Linked DNA regions of Mytilus edulis. The protein of the gene in region 2 interacts with the protein of the main gene of each other region in a pairwise test. Links are inferred from orthologs where the notes say so. Each region holds a gene or a part of one and is shown on either strand. Other genes may lie near its edges.

Region 1 (7,353 bases), on a different chromosome or scaffold from region 2:
GTCTTGGTAAATTACCTTTAACCAAGCCCTGACACCATTAACATTCCAGGACACAATAGTCTTGGTAAATTACCTTTAACCAAGCCCTGACACCATTAACATTCCACGACACAATAGTCTTGGTAAATTTCCTTCCATCCTTTGTTTTAGCATCAGGATTAATCTGTGTTGGGAATGAAGTATCTACATCATCAGGCAGATCTGTACTTGCTGTGCTGGACTTCTTTTCTATCTTTGTCTTCTTGGTGGTTGGTTCATCTTCTGCTTCTGTTGTCTTTTTGGTTGTTGCTTCAACATCTGTGACTGCCTTCTATAATAATATAATCAATCAAATGATTTTATTGGATAAACAAATTTAATGATAAAGCACATTAAATATTAAAATAAGGAGATGTGGTATGATTACCAATGAGACATGTGAGACAACTATCCACCAGAGTTTAAAAAATTAAAATGTTCTTTCTTTTTATCAGAAGATTGAATTTTCAAAAATATATACACCACATCTACTAAATTAAATTATTGTTCGGCTTCAAAATATATAACAATGCTGTACTGAACTTACTCACTATCGCTCGGGCAAAAATAATCACGAATATAATGCCTACCCATGTTAAAACTACAATAAAGTATAGCTTGCATCAATTATTTCTTAAATACTTTTGTAATTTTTATATCATTTGTATATTACTAAGATATTTGATTCCACAGGATATATGTATGTTTGTATATTTAATTAGATAATTGGATGAGCTCAAGTGATAAAATGGTATGCGTTTTAAATCAGGAGTGCCCTCTACCTGCGATTTCAATCCAATAAATGATTTATATTCAGTCTCAGCATCTACATAACCTTTTGAAACATTTTTCTAATAAATCATCATTACTATAAAAGTGCAATAAAGTTTTTTTAAAAGTTATTAAAGGTATATTTCTACCTCTTCTTCTTTTTTAAACTGAGTTTTACTGTGTGTATTGTTGAGTGTTTGTTTTTTCTACATTGGCTAGAGTTATAAGGGGATATCTCAAAAAACATGTTTAACCCTACCACATTTTAGCGCCTGTCCTAAGTCAGGAACCTCTGGCCTTTGTTAGTCTTGTATGATTTTTAAATTTAGTTTCTTGCGTATATTTCGGAGTCCATTATCACTGAACTAGTATACATTTTTGTTTAGGGGCCAGCTCAAGCATGCCAAGGAGCGAATGTTTCTCACTGCATTGGAGACCCATTGGTGGCTTGACTGTTTTCTGCTCTTTGATCGGGTTGTTGTCACTTTGACACATTCCCCATTTCCATTTTCAATTTGATATAAATATAATAAATGAAAGTATATACAACTAATTCTCTTTTAAAAAATATAAAATGAAAATATTGCTGAAACAACTTTTATTACATAGCATTATAGTCATGATAGAGGAACATGGACAAAACCAACAATTGAAGGCGAATTAAATGCAGCTGAACCATGGCCGAAAGGTAAAAAGCTCTCAAGAGCTTATGTTTTTATTGATATGTGTGAACTGGATCAAACTGAAACTTTCGTATTCATATTGTTTCCAATAATTTGTAATGTCAATGAAAACTTCTCATCTGACATTGTGATGATGCTGATAAAGCCAGCTCGATCATGTCTCAAAGCTGTAATACAAACATGACAAGAATAACTGACTGACTAAGCAGGACTAATTTTTATATTCTTATTATGGGGGAAATCAGATGTCGTATTTCCTAATGTGAACTTATTTTTAAAGGCATAAAAAGTATATGAATTAAATTATAAATTATGAAACAAAACAATCTCATTTTAAAAGTATAAATTAAAATGAAAATATTGCCAGAACTTTTATAAGGGTAGTAATGGGGGTACCTTCATGACAAAACGGTAAAAATTCTTGCCAAATGACATTCACAGTAATTTTAGGTGTATGACAGTAAAATGTACACTACATCCTTCAGACGATAAAAAAACATTGACTGATTTTGACAAATCAAGTTATTTTTTAAAAAAATGACAGAAATGATAAGGATATTTTGACAAATCACTGTAAAATTTTAACCAATTTGACGCTAACGGTAGCCGAAAATGACTGTTTGACGCCTGATGTCAAAGGCATTACTATCCTCTTTTATCATATGGCTGAAGTGGTACATGGACTAGACGACCAAGACTGAATCAACTAAGGCTGAACCATGGACGTGTAGCGAAATCGGTTTTTATATATTTGAAATTATATGTAGGATGGCTAATTTCAATTTACAATTCATTTTCATTGTTATTATTTTGCTTACATGATTGTATCCAGGGTAACCTAAAAAGTGTAGTTGATTTCTATTGGTTAATCAGTAAGGATTCTCAGTGTTTTACATAAGATAAATGATTAAAAGCTTTTCTTTTCTTCTTGGTAGTAATCAATAGTTGTTTAGATTAAAATATTTTCGCAAGAAATATTAGTTAACTAAAGGGATATTGAGATCAATGTCAATTATCAGAAGTAGAGTGTAGATTTGTTGGTAAAGGTGTGTTCGAAGAGTAGACACACGTATTGTTGATTTATACACACGATAAAAAAAACTCATCATTACAATGTATAAATACCTGAGGCTGAGTTAACATTATAGCTGACTTTACCAAATAAAACACACAGATAATAAAAGAAAGATACTGATACATATACAAATACTAAGGTCAAACTGTCTCCTGTTACAGAGTTCGTTTCCCACTGAGGGTCTGAGCACTGAAGATACTTTATTTTCTCAATTTGCATATAAAATATTTATTTCACAATGTTTTACATACACACACACACAGAGCTTAGAAACTGACAAAACATTTTTTAGCTGATTATATTTATATATTTTTACCTTTCTTTTTGGTGGCATGGTACTTAACTTCGCTGAACTGATGAATCTATTAAATGCCGGTATCAGCAAATTTCTATTTACAAACAACATTCACAATAGAAAATTTCCCGCCATATGTACTTTTATTCCGAAACGAATTACTTTAAAAACGATGTAAAGTATTTAAAGTCATCCTTACTTTTTGCAGAAACCGACTACTAAGCTTAAACAAATTTATAGTTCATTTGAAAGACATGTAATATAACATGTCTTTTCATTGTTAATAAAGCATTAGCTTTGATCGTATCATTGTTTCGTTTATATGTGATTCCGTATTTTTAATTAAACGGGCACCTGCCGGAAGTTTACATTTGCTAAGTTACGCATGGACGTTCTAAAAGCTGACTTTCTCCCTTGACAGTTGAGGTTTTTTTTTTCTGATTTCACAAATTCAGTTCATTGTCATGGATAATTTGCTTATCATATGTATGAATTAATATTTCATATACTGTGCAAAATGTGGTACTATCTCAAATTATTAATTATGCATACATTTATTCCAAACAGAACACTGTTCAGCTGTTCAGAAATACCAGTACATAACTATAGTGGAGAAATAAAATATTAATTTGCCTCATTATGTTGAAGAAGAGTCAATACACAATGTACCTGATTCTTCCGGTCTTTGATTTATTGCCAGGGAGCACATACGGATTGGGGATGACTTAGGACACTCAGGCTGACAGCAAATTTGGAATAGAAAATATCTACTTTTTGTGACAAAATTGAGAAACAATGGATTATTTTGAAGATGACTTACACCGATGTATTATTCAGGGTGATGCTGAAACACTACGTGAATATTTGAAGAAAGGCTTGGATGTTAACCATGCTTTTAGAAGCAACGAAAGACCAGAAAGAGTTGGAAAAACAATGGTGGAAACTGCAATAGAAAATGATCAAATTAATATTGTGCAAGCTTTAGTACAAAATGGATGTAACACGAATCTAAAATATATAGTGGATGTTTTCAACTATACATACATTTTAAAACCATATAAAAAGAGAGAGCGACTAAAATTAACAATTATGTTCAAGTGCATTGTTAAAGAAGATGTCCCAATGGTTAAACTTCTTGTTCAAGGTGGATTTGATGTGAACATTGTTGATGACCGTGGATGGTCTCCATTGTTACATGCTGTTGATATGGATAACTATGAAATGGTGAAAGCGATTCTGATCAGTGATAAATGTGATGTTAATATAAAAGATACAGCTAATCTTAGGCCCCTTCACATGGCTGCCATGCATGCCAACAGTAAAATAGCTTCCCAGCTGGTACGTAGAGGTGCAAAGGTTGATGTTGTGCAAATCAGAGGCTGGACACCTCTTATTCTGACATGTCGTGCAAACTGTGTACAGACTACCCGCTTGCTACTGTTGAATGGAGCCAATCCAAATCATACTGGATTAAACGGTCATACCCCACTTTCTACAGCCCTCCAATTTAGCACTTGTAAAGAAATTCCAGAAATGCTGTTAGAAGCAGGTGCATCAGTGGACATAACTTTAATTAAAAGATGCCAAAGTGAAAAATTCCAAAATCTCATTCTCCACCCTGAGCTGATGGTACTGATTAAGTATTGTGCAGAATCTCCTCAAACTTTGAGAACTCTTTCTTGTCTTGTTATCAGGAATTCATTGATTCATTCATCACAAAACATTCATTTAATGAAAAAAGTGGAACAATTACCATTACCAAAACTCATAAAGGAGTATATCTTATTAGGACATTTGTAATTTGTGTAAATTGTTAATACACCTATCATGCCTATGTTTTGGATTATGATGGATCAAGAGTATAATGAAAAAAAGTCTTTTGATGATGACAAAAAAAGCAATTTTTCAACTGAACACAAGGACTCAATTAACCAATTGCAGTTTTGTACCTTTGTTTTCATTATGGCTTTTAAAAATCTAAATAAAAATAATTAATTTATTTAAACTATTTTTTTGTATCAACAATTAGTTAATAAAATACATGTCATGTTAACTGAAGAATATCAGTGTATATATAACTTATTTATTTTGGATTTTTGCCACATTACATAGAATTTAAAGGTTCACTAAACATTCACAATTACATTTTGTGCTGATAAATTTGAATTCATCATGTTCATAGTTAAAAAAAAAATTATTTCTTGCCCTCAAAGTAATTGCAATGTTTTTATCAAATCTACTGCAGCTTTTGATAAGTTATAAAGTATGTTTTATCTGATTTTATAATTATGTTGAGAGAAGGAGGTGAAAATGATGATGATACAACAGTATTAAATATCTCTTCAAAATATTGTAGTCTGTCATGAGTTTAAAAGATATAACCACAAATCACAGTGGTCTTCACACTTGTATGGTGATAAAAACATCTAAAATTCATGATTTCTTTTGTTCAGAAATTCACTGAGAATAAACAAAACTTTTAATTTCTGTTTTTTTTTACCACATTCTTATTCAATTGATCATTGCTTAACTATTATCTTATTGCTATTGGTTATCTTTCGATTATTTATCCAAAATACTTTTTCCCATGACCACACATACTTGAAACATGCTATAAATTGGGAATTGTGTATTGATTATGACATAAATTAATAAATAATTAATTATCTTAGTTATAAAACACTTCCACAGAGAATACTTATATAATTAAATCTGTGTCTTAATTAAAAAGATAAGCCTTCTTCAAACCTATATTGATTTTTGTATGTATTGCTAGATTGATGTGTCAGAAGTTTAGTATAACCAACACTGAAGAGTACTTCGTATCTTAATGTCTTATCATAAATATCAATTGATTACATAAAAAGTGGGTTTGTTTTCCACCATGTTCAGTATAAAACAACGATAATTTATTTATCAGGAAATTTTATAACATATTGTTTATCATGTTTATGTTTCAATATAAAACAATTTATACATGTTATTTGTAATGTTGTTTAAAGTGGTCTGTGTCCAAACCTAGCCAATCTTTATGATCTTAGTGGTCCATAAGTCTGTCCGTGTTCAGAGCCCCACCCCATCAGTCTATATGTTAACTTGTCTTGTGAATGACTACTAAAGCTATGATACTAATACTATGGAATGTGAGCTCCACTTGTTCCCAAATTATGTTTTATTTCCTTCATCAAGCTAGTGGCCATCCAGTTTGTAGCTTTACTGCAGGTTGTTTTTTCTTTATTGGATTGTTCTTTAAGACATATGGTCTAGGAAGATAAAGTGTGAACATAAAATGTGCTTGTAACAAGTCTGGCTGTCTGTACCACATGTTATTCTATTATGTGAATGTCTTAAGGGGAACTCAGGTTATTTTGGCGGGGTGTAAATTTTCGCTTATTTTCAGGGATAGAACAAAATCGACAAAATAAATTCTGCCAATTTAAAGTGTAGATGCAAAGGTATTGATAAAAGTTCTGAATCTGCCAAAATAATAACAGACAAAATATTTTGTATACTTTTTTCAATGAAAATCGCGAAATTTTACACCCGCTAAAATAACCCGCTATACAGTATGTCTGAATGTCTGCTGATAATTGTCAAAGGATCATAATCTGAGAAAAATGTAGGAACTGGGTGCTACACTAAATGGTGCACATTTTCAATGTATACACAACCATTGTTAAAGTTTGAAGGCTTTAGGAAGAAATCAAATAGGAGTTTATTTCAAAAATTAGACACATGTTTCATCATCCACAAGATTTACCCTTTGTGCAGCCAAGCCTATCATCAAGAACAATCAGGTAACATAAAGCACATATGACATAAAATCAAAATAAAACAACACACAAATATTTTCCAATTTTATTCTGCTTCTCCAAAGCAGTACATTATAGTTATACATTGTGGAATGTTAACTCTGTGAGCAACTAAATAAAAACAATCATAGCCAGTATACACTAAAACAGAACACTTCAATTTCAATATGTATATCACTCATACACATTCATGGGGAGAAACATGGAATTCTCAATATTAAATGCAGACAGTAGTTTTAAATTTACAGTATTTTTGTCACTTTTATTAACACATTTTTCGTCTGATCTTTTTGAAATCAGTTTAGAAACAAATGCCCAACTTGAGGTATCTAAATACTTTTGTGATTGAAATTTTTGATCATCAATGTCATGTTTTCAACTTGACAAATTAATTTAAAAAAAAAAGGTAACAAAAGATCTTTAAATACATGTGAAAATGAAACAATGTTTATAATGTTAAAATTATGTTCAAGTAGCATGTGCAAGTTTGAAAAAAAGATGAACTACATGTACTGAGTCCACTTGGCCACAATAACCCCTAAAAGCTGAACAACAAAACCTCTGAAGAATTCCACAAAAGTAAATTCAAATGGCAATTTGCATTTATGAGATAACTGTCTTAATATATTTCAATAGAAGTATAAAATTTAGATGAGGAACATGTTGAATATTGAAATCCCTTACAATCTCCTTTATAAG
Region 2 (6,061 bases):
ATCTTTATGCAGCATTCCTAAAATCTCAACAATTAACTTCCCAGTTTTGTCCATCTTTTACAAATTGCAAAAATAAATGCACACAATAATTTCTGAACTTACAGTATTTAAGCTGCTGACAATTATCAATAGAAATGAGATGTTAACTTTTGGTCAGGTTTTTGTCTCTTTTGTCATATTTCCCATTTCCTGTAATTCCATCCTCTATTTTAACACATGTACTTATAGTATTACCATTCCATTTATGATTTATAATTATTGTAATTATCAAATCATTTAGTAAGATACAGAAACTTTCTAAAAATCCAAAAAATTAGATGCTTTCATCATGTTCAATATCAATTAGGAAGTGTACAAAAGTCCGGAATATGAAACATTACCAGCTATACAAGATTTGTGGTGGATATACATGTACATAACATTGTTACAGTGGATAAAACTTCACCCCTATTTTTTTATGGAGGTGAACTAGTTTGACATCATGTCCGGGCCATTTAGTATTTTACTTGGAAAAGTAAGACTGATAAAGCCACAAATAAATAACTGTTTATTGTATGTACATACATTCTAATTTGGTAATTTGTAAAATATTATACTACATGTATTTTGAAAAAGTACATATATAGTTATTGATTTGAACAATTGCACCAATAAACACCTGAGTATTCAAGAAAAAAATTGTATTAATGAACAGCCTTATAATCAAGTTATTCTTATTGCTGGTCTTTTAATTTCACACCCATGCTTTTTAATAATTCCAGAGCTTCTTTGTGAGCCTTTTCATCATCAGGTTTATTTAAAGGTTGATCTTTCGCTCTAGTTAAATATTTCAGCGCCATATTATGGTTCTTCAATCTGAGGTAAGTTTTCCCTAACATCAATAAGTTCATACTGTAAAAATTAGGATCTGCTTCTTCAGCTTTTTCAAAATAAGCCAGCGCCTCTTCATAAGTTGAAGTTGGTGGTGAAGCAAACAGTGCTGAAGCTATTTGTCTCATGTACCAAGGCATGTCTGCAAATAGAAAACACCAATACCCAAGTGAGTACAATGATGTTGCATCTTTTGGGTTTAATTCATTGGCTCTCTTTAAATGTTCCTTCACATGAAAGGCATTTGAAATTCTTTTTTTCGTGCCTTCATATTCTGCTGTGTAATCAAGTAGTATGGCATACCATTTGTGAGAGGCAAAATTATTGTCATTTAATTCTAGAGCTTTCTTGACATATTCAAAGGCTTCAAAAAAGCAGGCTTTCTTTTCATTGGTATTTTGAACTAGTTTTCCTTTGTCGCTCGCAGCCCTTGCCAGTCTCCACAAAATTTCATCATTCTGACAATCCTTGTACTGAATTAGGAAATCATACAGTTTAAGTATCTCATTAGCTGTATATATTTTATCAGCTTCTATAACAACTAATTCTTCTTTGGTCAATTCTTTGACCTCTTCTTTCTTTCCAAACCCAAAACTTAGAGCATGGACTGTTGCAAAAGGTTGAAATGCCAGTACAGGAAACAATGGATATTGGATTTTCTTGAACTGTTTATATGATTCCTTTCTCTGGGACCTCAAGAATCTGTATGCCACGCCACATGACTGTCTAAATTTTGTAAAAAATTTCAATGAACTTTGCATCATGAAGGTGGCACGGTAGTATTTGCTTCCAACGTTTTAGGTTGCTCCTTTGTGTACCCTACTTAGGTGAATACTTATGACACTGTGATTGGACATTAAAATGGATTATCAACCAGAAACATTTTTTTCAAGTATTTTAACCAATTATGAGTCTGAAAAATAGCAATTTTCAAATGTAACTATTGAAATAAATCTTTTAGAATTTTTTTAGAATATTGCATTTACTGCGGCCAAATATGATGTAAATGACTGGTTCCCTTAGACTGGTGACAATAGCTAAAAAAGTAAACGGTCATGATGGTGTTTCTCATTTATTTTTGAATATCTGAATGAAAGTACTTCAAGTTACAGTAGGTTTTAGGTCTTGGGGAGTGTTAGAAAGTCATGAAAATCTGAAAAATGTTAACATTGTCGCCTATGGCAGGGAAATACTACCGTGCCACCTGAATATGTTGTCAGTGTAATCAGTGAGTAATCTCTGAAACAAGTTCGGTTCATTTATTTTCCGGAAAACAAGAATCAGTAATCAATAAATAGTAGGAAATATGGTTGACTAGAAAATATGGTTTTGTTCGTTTTATTTACAAAGATTTATCCTCTAATGTGTCATGACAGATTTGATTTCTACCAGAGTGTACAGTGCATTATGTTCCCGGATTTTATTCTCAATCTGCCCGTACTTTTATGTAAATTATATCTTGAGTCCTAAAATCTTTCTTTTATTCCCTATACATCGTGGAACAAAGCCGGCTTCAGAAAAAAATATATCAAAAAGTACGAAATCTCACGTAGAAAGTTATATTAAAATCAAACACAGATAAATCATCAACTACTGTATACAATCAACTTTGTCAAAAGATATTTCGGTGTGGTTTTTAAGATTGTCAACCACTTTAATGAAAAAGGGGGGATAATTAATGAGATACATGCCTCTAGTGGACTAACCTGCCTCAGCCTCAGGCAGATTTGTCAATCCCACCTCCAAGCTGTTGACATCTTATGATGTCCACTCAGATTTTGAAACAAATTTTAATTTGATAAAAGATTCTGAAAAACTGGTAATGTTCAACAACAAGTTCATTCATTTTTTAAAGATTTTTTTATGAGAATGTCTGCTTTGTTAACCAATTGCGCTAAAAAAAGACCTGCTGTTTTGTAGAGGTGGGGGAAGACCTTTTTGGAGATGTCAGGATCGGGTGTTCAGGATAGACCCTTTCGAGATCCTGGAATTCTTGTTTCCAATTTTGGAATGCTGGGATTTAAATTTCTTTAAATTTTGGACCTCAGGATTTCATGTTTGAAGCCAGAGATTTCGGGACCAACAGAGGCGGATTTAGGGGGGGCCAAGGGTGGAAAAATTTGGCTGCTTATATAGGGAAGCACTGGAGCGGGCCCCCTCTTAGGCAGTCAGTGGGCCCCCACTTATGAAATTTCTGGATCTGCCACTTATCAGGTCCCCTCTGACAGCCCCATCCCCCTCCATAGCGAAAACAATTACTTTTAATGAATATTGTTAGCAAATGAATACTAGAACACCTATCTTTTTTTGCACATATAAATAAGATGTAGTATTCCATTCCAATTCCAATGTACATGTATAAAAAGTAAAAAAATTACAATTCAAAGTATCAGGCCTTCACCACAGAGCCTTGGCTCACACGGAACAGCAATCTTTAAAGAGCCCTACAATAACTACATGTAAAACAATTTAAAAACTTAAAATTAAAGGTCTAATCTATGTAAAAAAAACAAGAAACAATTGTGAACCACACCAACAAACAACAACAGTCATTAACATTTATCAAGTTAGGCCACAATTAAAAATATTTCAGTTTGCCCAAACCCGACCCATGATGACTGGGTGTGGGTAGGTAGGTAGGCAAATTTTTTTTTCTTTTTTTTTTCCAAATTTGCATGAAAATATTAAAAGATCTTAAAACAGTATATCTTTTTTTTTCTCTGTCAAACCTTTGTAGAGACAACCAAAAGCCATGAATTTAAAACCTCTATAAATAAATTAGTCTACTATATGATTTGTATCCTGAGATGTTTATAACCCTGACAATTGCTAACTGTGTGAAAGGGCTGTTGGATTTGTGAAGTGATTTTCAACAGTTCCATCAACATGATCAACACGATGTTTGTGTAAAAAAAATATCAGCTGATTATGTAATGATTAAATTTGTTTGCAGTTTTTAAATCCTATTCTATTAAAATAGATTAAATGTCCTAAAATATTTATATGAATTTTTATCTACCATCCTTAGTTTGTGTCTTTTTTATGTTTTGAAAACAAATTTATATTTTACATTATCACACAGGTAAACTAATTTGGCTATAAATAGATCAAAGCATGTTCTGTAGAATCTCCAAACTAAAAACGTATTTGTTATAATTTTATTTCTTTAAATAATCAAGTTTAAATTTTTGAAAATAATCATTATTGATTAAATGAAATTGCATAAAGTTAACGTTTTCTGAAGACTTTATTTTTAGGTCTGACATGGTTCTAGGGGCTTCCTCACAAATTGTATAAAAATCCAATATGGCGTCCATAACATGTTTTTACTTTTGCACATGTGAAAAAATATTTCTGACAAAAGTCAGATTTCTCTTGTCAAAAGGGATTTATATTTATATTGCAATAAATTATTCAGAAGGAGTGACATTCAGTTAAGATTATATTTCTGATTCTGTGAGCAATTATAGTTTTATCTAATTCTCCCAAACAGCAACGTACTGACTGTCTAATGAGACTTGTAAATTTGAACTATTCGAATAAAAGGGCATCTAATTTACATGATAAAGGAAGATTATAATTAAAGACAACAATTTATCAAGAAATAATTCCTTTTTATTCAGTAAAAACAAAATCTTCTTGCAAGATTATAAATTCGCAACTTCCAGATCCATTTCCTGTCAGAATAACATTAAAAATATTCGATTGCACATGGTTTTGAACAAATCTACCCAAATATTCTTATCAGATATTCAATAACACGATGAAATTAATGTTGAGCATATAGGTAAGGGTTTGGTAGTACAAACAACTACAGCATAAAAAAACTGTGCCACTTCACTTGTTATACTTCTTTACGTTCGTTAAATCAGAAGATAAAAACAGAGAACATCGAATATCGATTAACTGCGTCTCTTATACGCTTTCTTTTAATCTTATTCACAATTACTTTCAAACGCAAAGACGACAAACATTAAGTTTTGTACGATGACGGAGCTGACCCAAAATAAATCCGGAAAAAAAAAATTCTTCCAAAAAAACGTCAAAAAAAGAATTTGAGTCGGCGGGTTTATTTTGGGTCGGTCGCGTTTGGGCAAACATACAATCTTTTTATTTTGGCCTTACAATGTATCAAGCCCTTTAAGTTAAAAAAAGGAAATGTGATATGATTGCCAATTAGACAACTCTCCACAAGAGACCAAATTACACCGATATTAAACATCTATATGTCACTGTACTGCCTTCAACAATGAGCAAAACCCATACCATATAGTCAACTTTAAAAGGCCCAGAAATGACATGTTAAACAATTCAAATGAGTATTGTCAAATTTGTTATACATTGAATTTGTAAAATAAGATTATATGTTTATAATCTAGTGGTTCTTTTTTTCAGGATGGCACAACCACTATTGTTAGATTCTACATGGAGAGACCAACAGAAATTTGAAAATGCAGAAGCTGTTTATCAATGTACAATTGCTGGTACATCTGTAAGTCTGCATAAAACTATGTACACTAATTTAGATCTTTGGGCAGGAGTAACAAATTTGTTTAGGCCAAAAAAATTAATATGTGTTTCCGTAAACGTCCTGAAAAAAATTAAAGTAGGCAATATCAATCTTTTAACAAACAATTTTTAGCTGGTTGCTATTAGGGAAGTATTGTGACTTTAAAGATGCTTAGTCCAAATTGGCATAAAAAGAGTTGGGTAGGCACTAAAAATTAAGGTAGTCAGGTAGTTAGGGTTAGCGGAAACATGTATTATTATTTTTGGCCTTAGATCTTTGGGCAGGATTAACACAATGTATGATGTGTATTAACCTTACTATTTCAGCTTTTACTAGCTATAGGATTCTGATACCAGTATTCATTTGTATTTGTACATGTTGAATTTTTCAAGATATCCATAGAAATGATATAAACTGTAAACGGATACATGTTCATGTGCTTGCTCTTAAGGCCTACATCGATTTGTCCTACTCAGGGTTAGTAGAGTTTTCTCAACTGGCAATGGAAGAGTTTTGGTTGCCCACATGCACATTTATTAGCACTGATCTTTTAACTCAAGTCAACCCGAGTTGGACGATTCGAAGTAGGCCTAGATGAAAGCATGTTTTATTGGAATTTGGCAAAAAACAGAACAACTTCTGTTGATATTTCACAAATATTTTTTTATAGATTCATAGTTA

What was found.
Region 1: the proteins of regulator of microtubule dynamics protein 1-like (region 2) and exodeoxyribonuclease-like interact in a two-hybrid assay, tested with the Caenorhabditis elegans proteins (2 studies listed by BioGRID). The link is inferred for Mytilus edulis from reciprocal best matches to the Caenorhabditis elegans genes F33H2.6 and exo-3.

Annotation. Positions count from the first base shown.
Region 1 is NC_092353.1:832,573-839,925, forward strand, and holds the start of exodeoxyribonuclease-like, read right to left. Parts: upstream 3,012-7,353; 5' UTR 2,954-3,011; coding exon 2,864-2,953; intron 311-2,863; coding exon 74-310; intron 1-73. Other genes in the region: ankyrin repeat and SOCS box protein 8-like, read left to right, coding at 3,638-4,642.
Region 2 is NC_092355.1:30,360,810-30,366,870, reverse strand, and holds regulator of microtubule dynamics protein 1-like, read right to left. Parts: upstream 1,637-6,061; 5' UTR 1,635-1,636; coding exon 714-1,634; 3' UTR 531-713; downstream 1-530. Other genes in the region: elongation factor 1-delta-like, read left to right, coding at 5,267-5,362.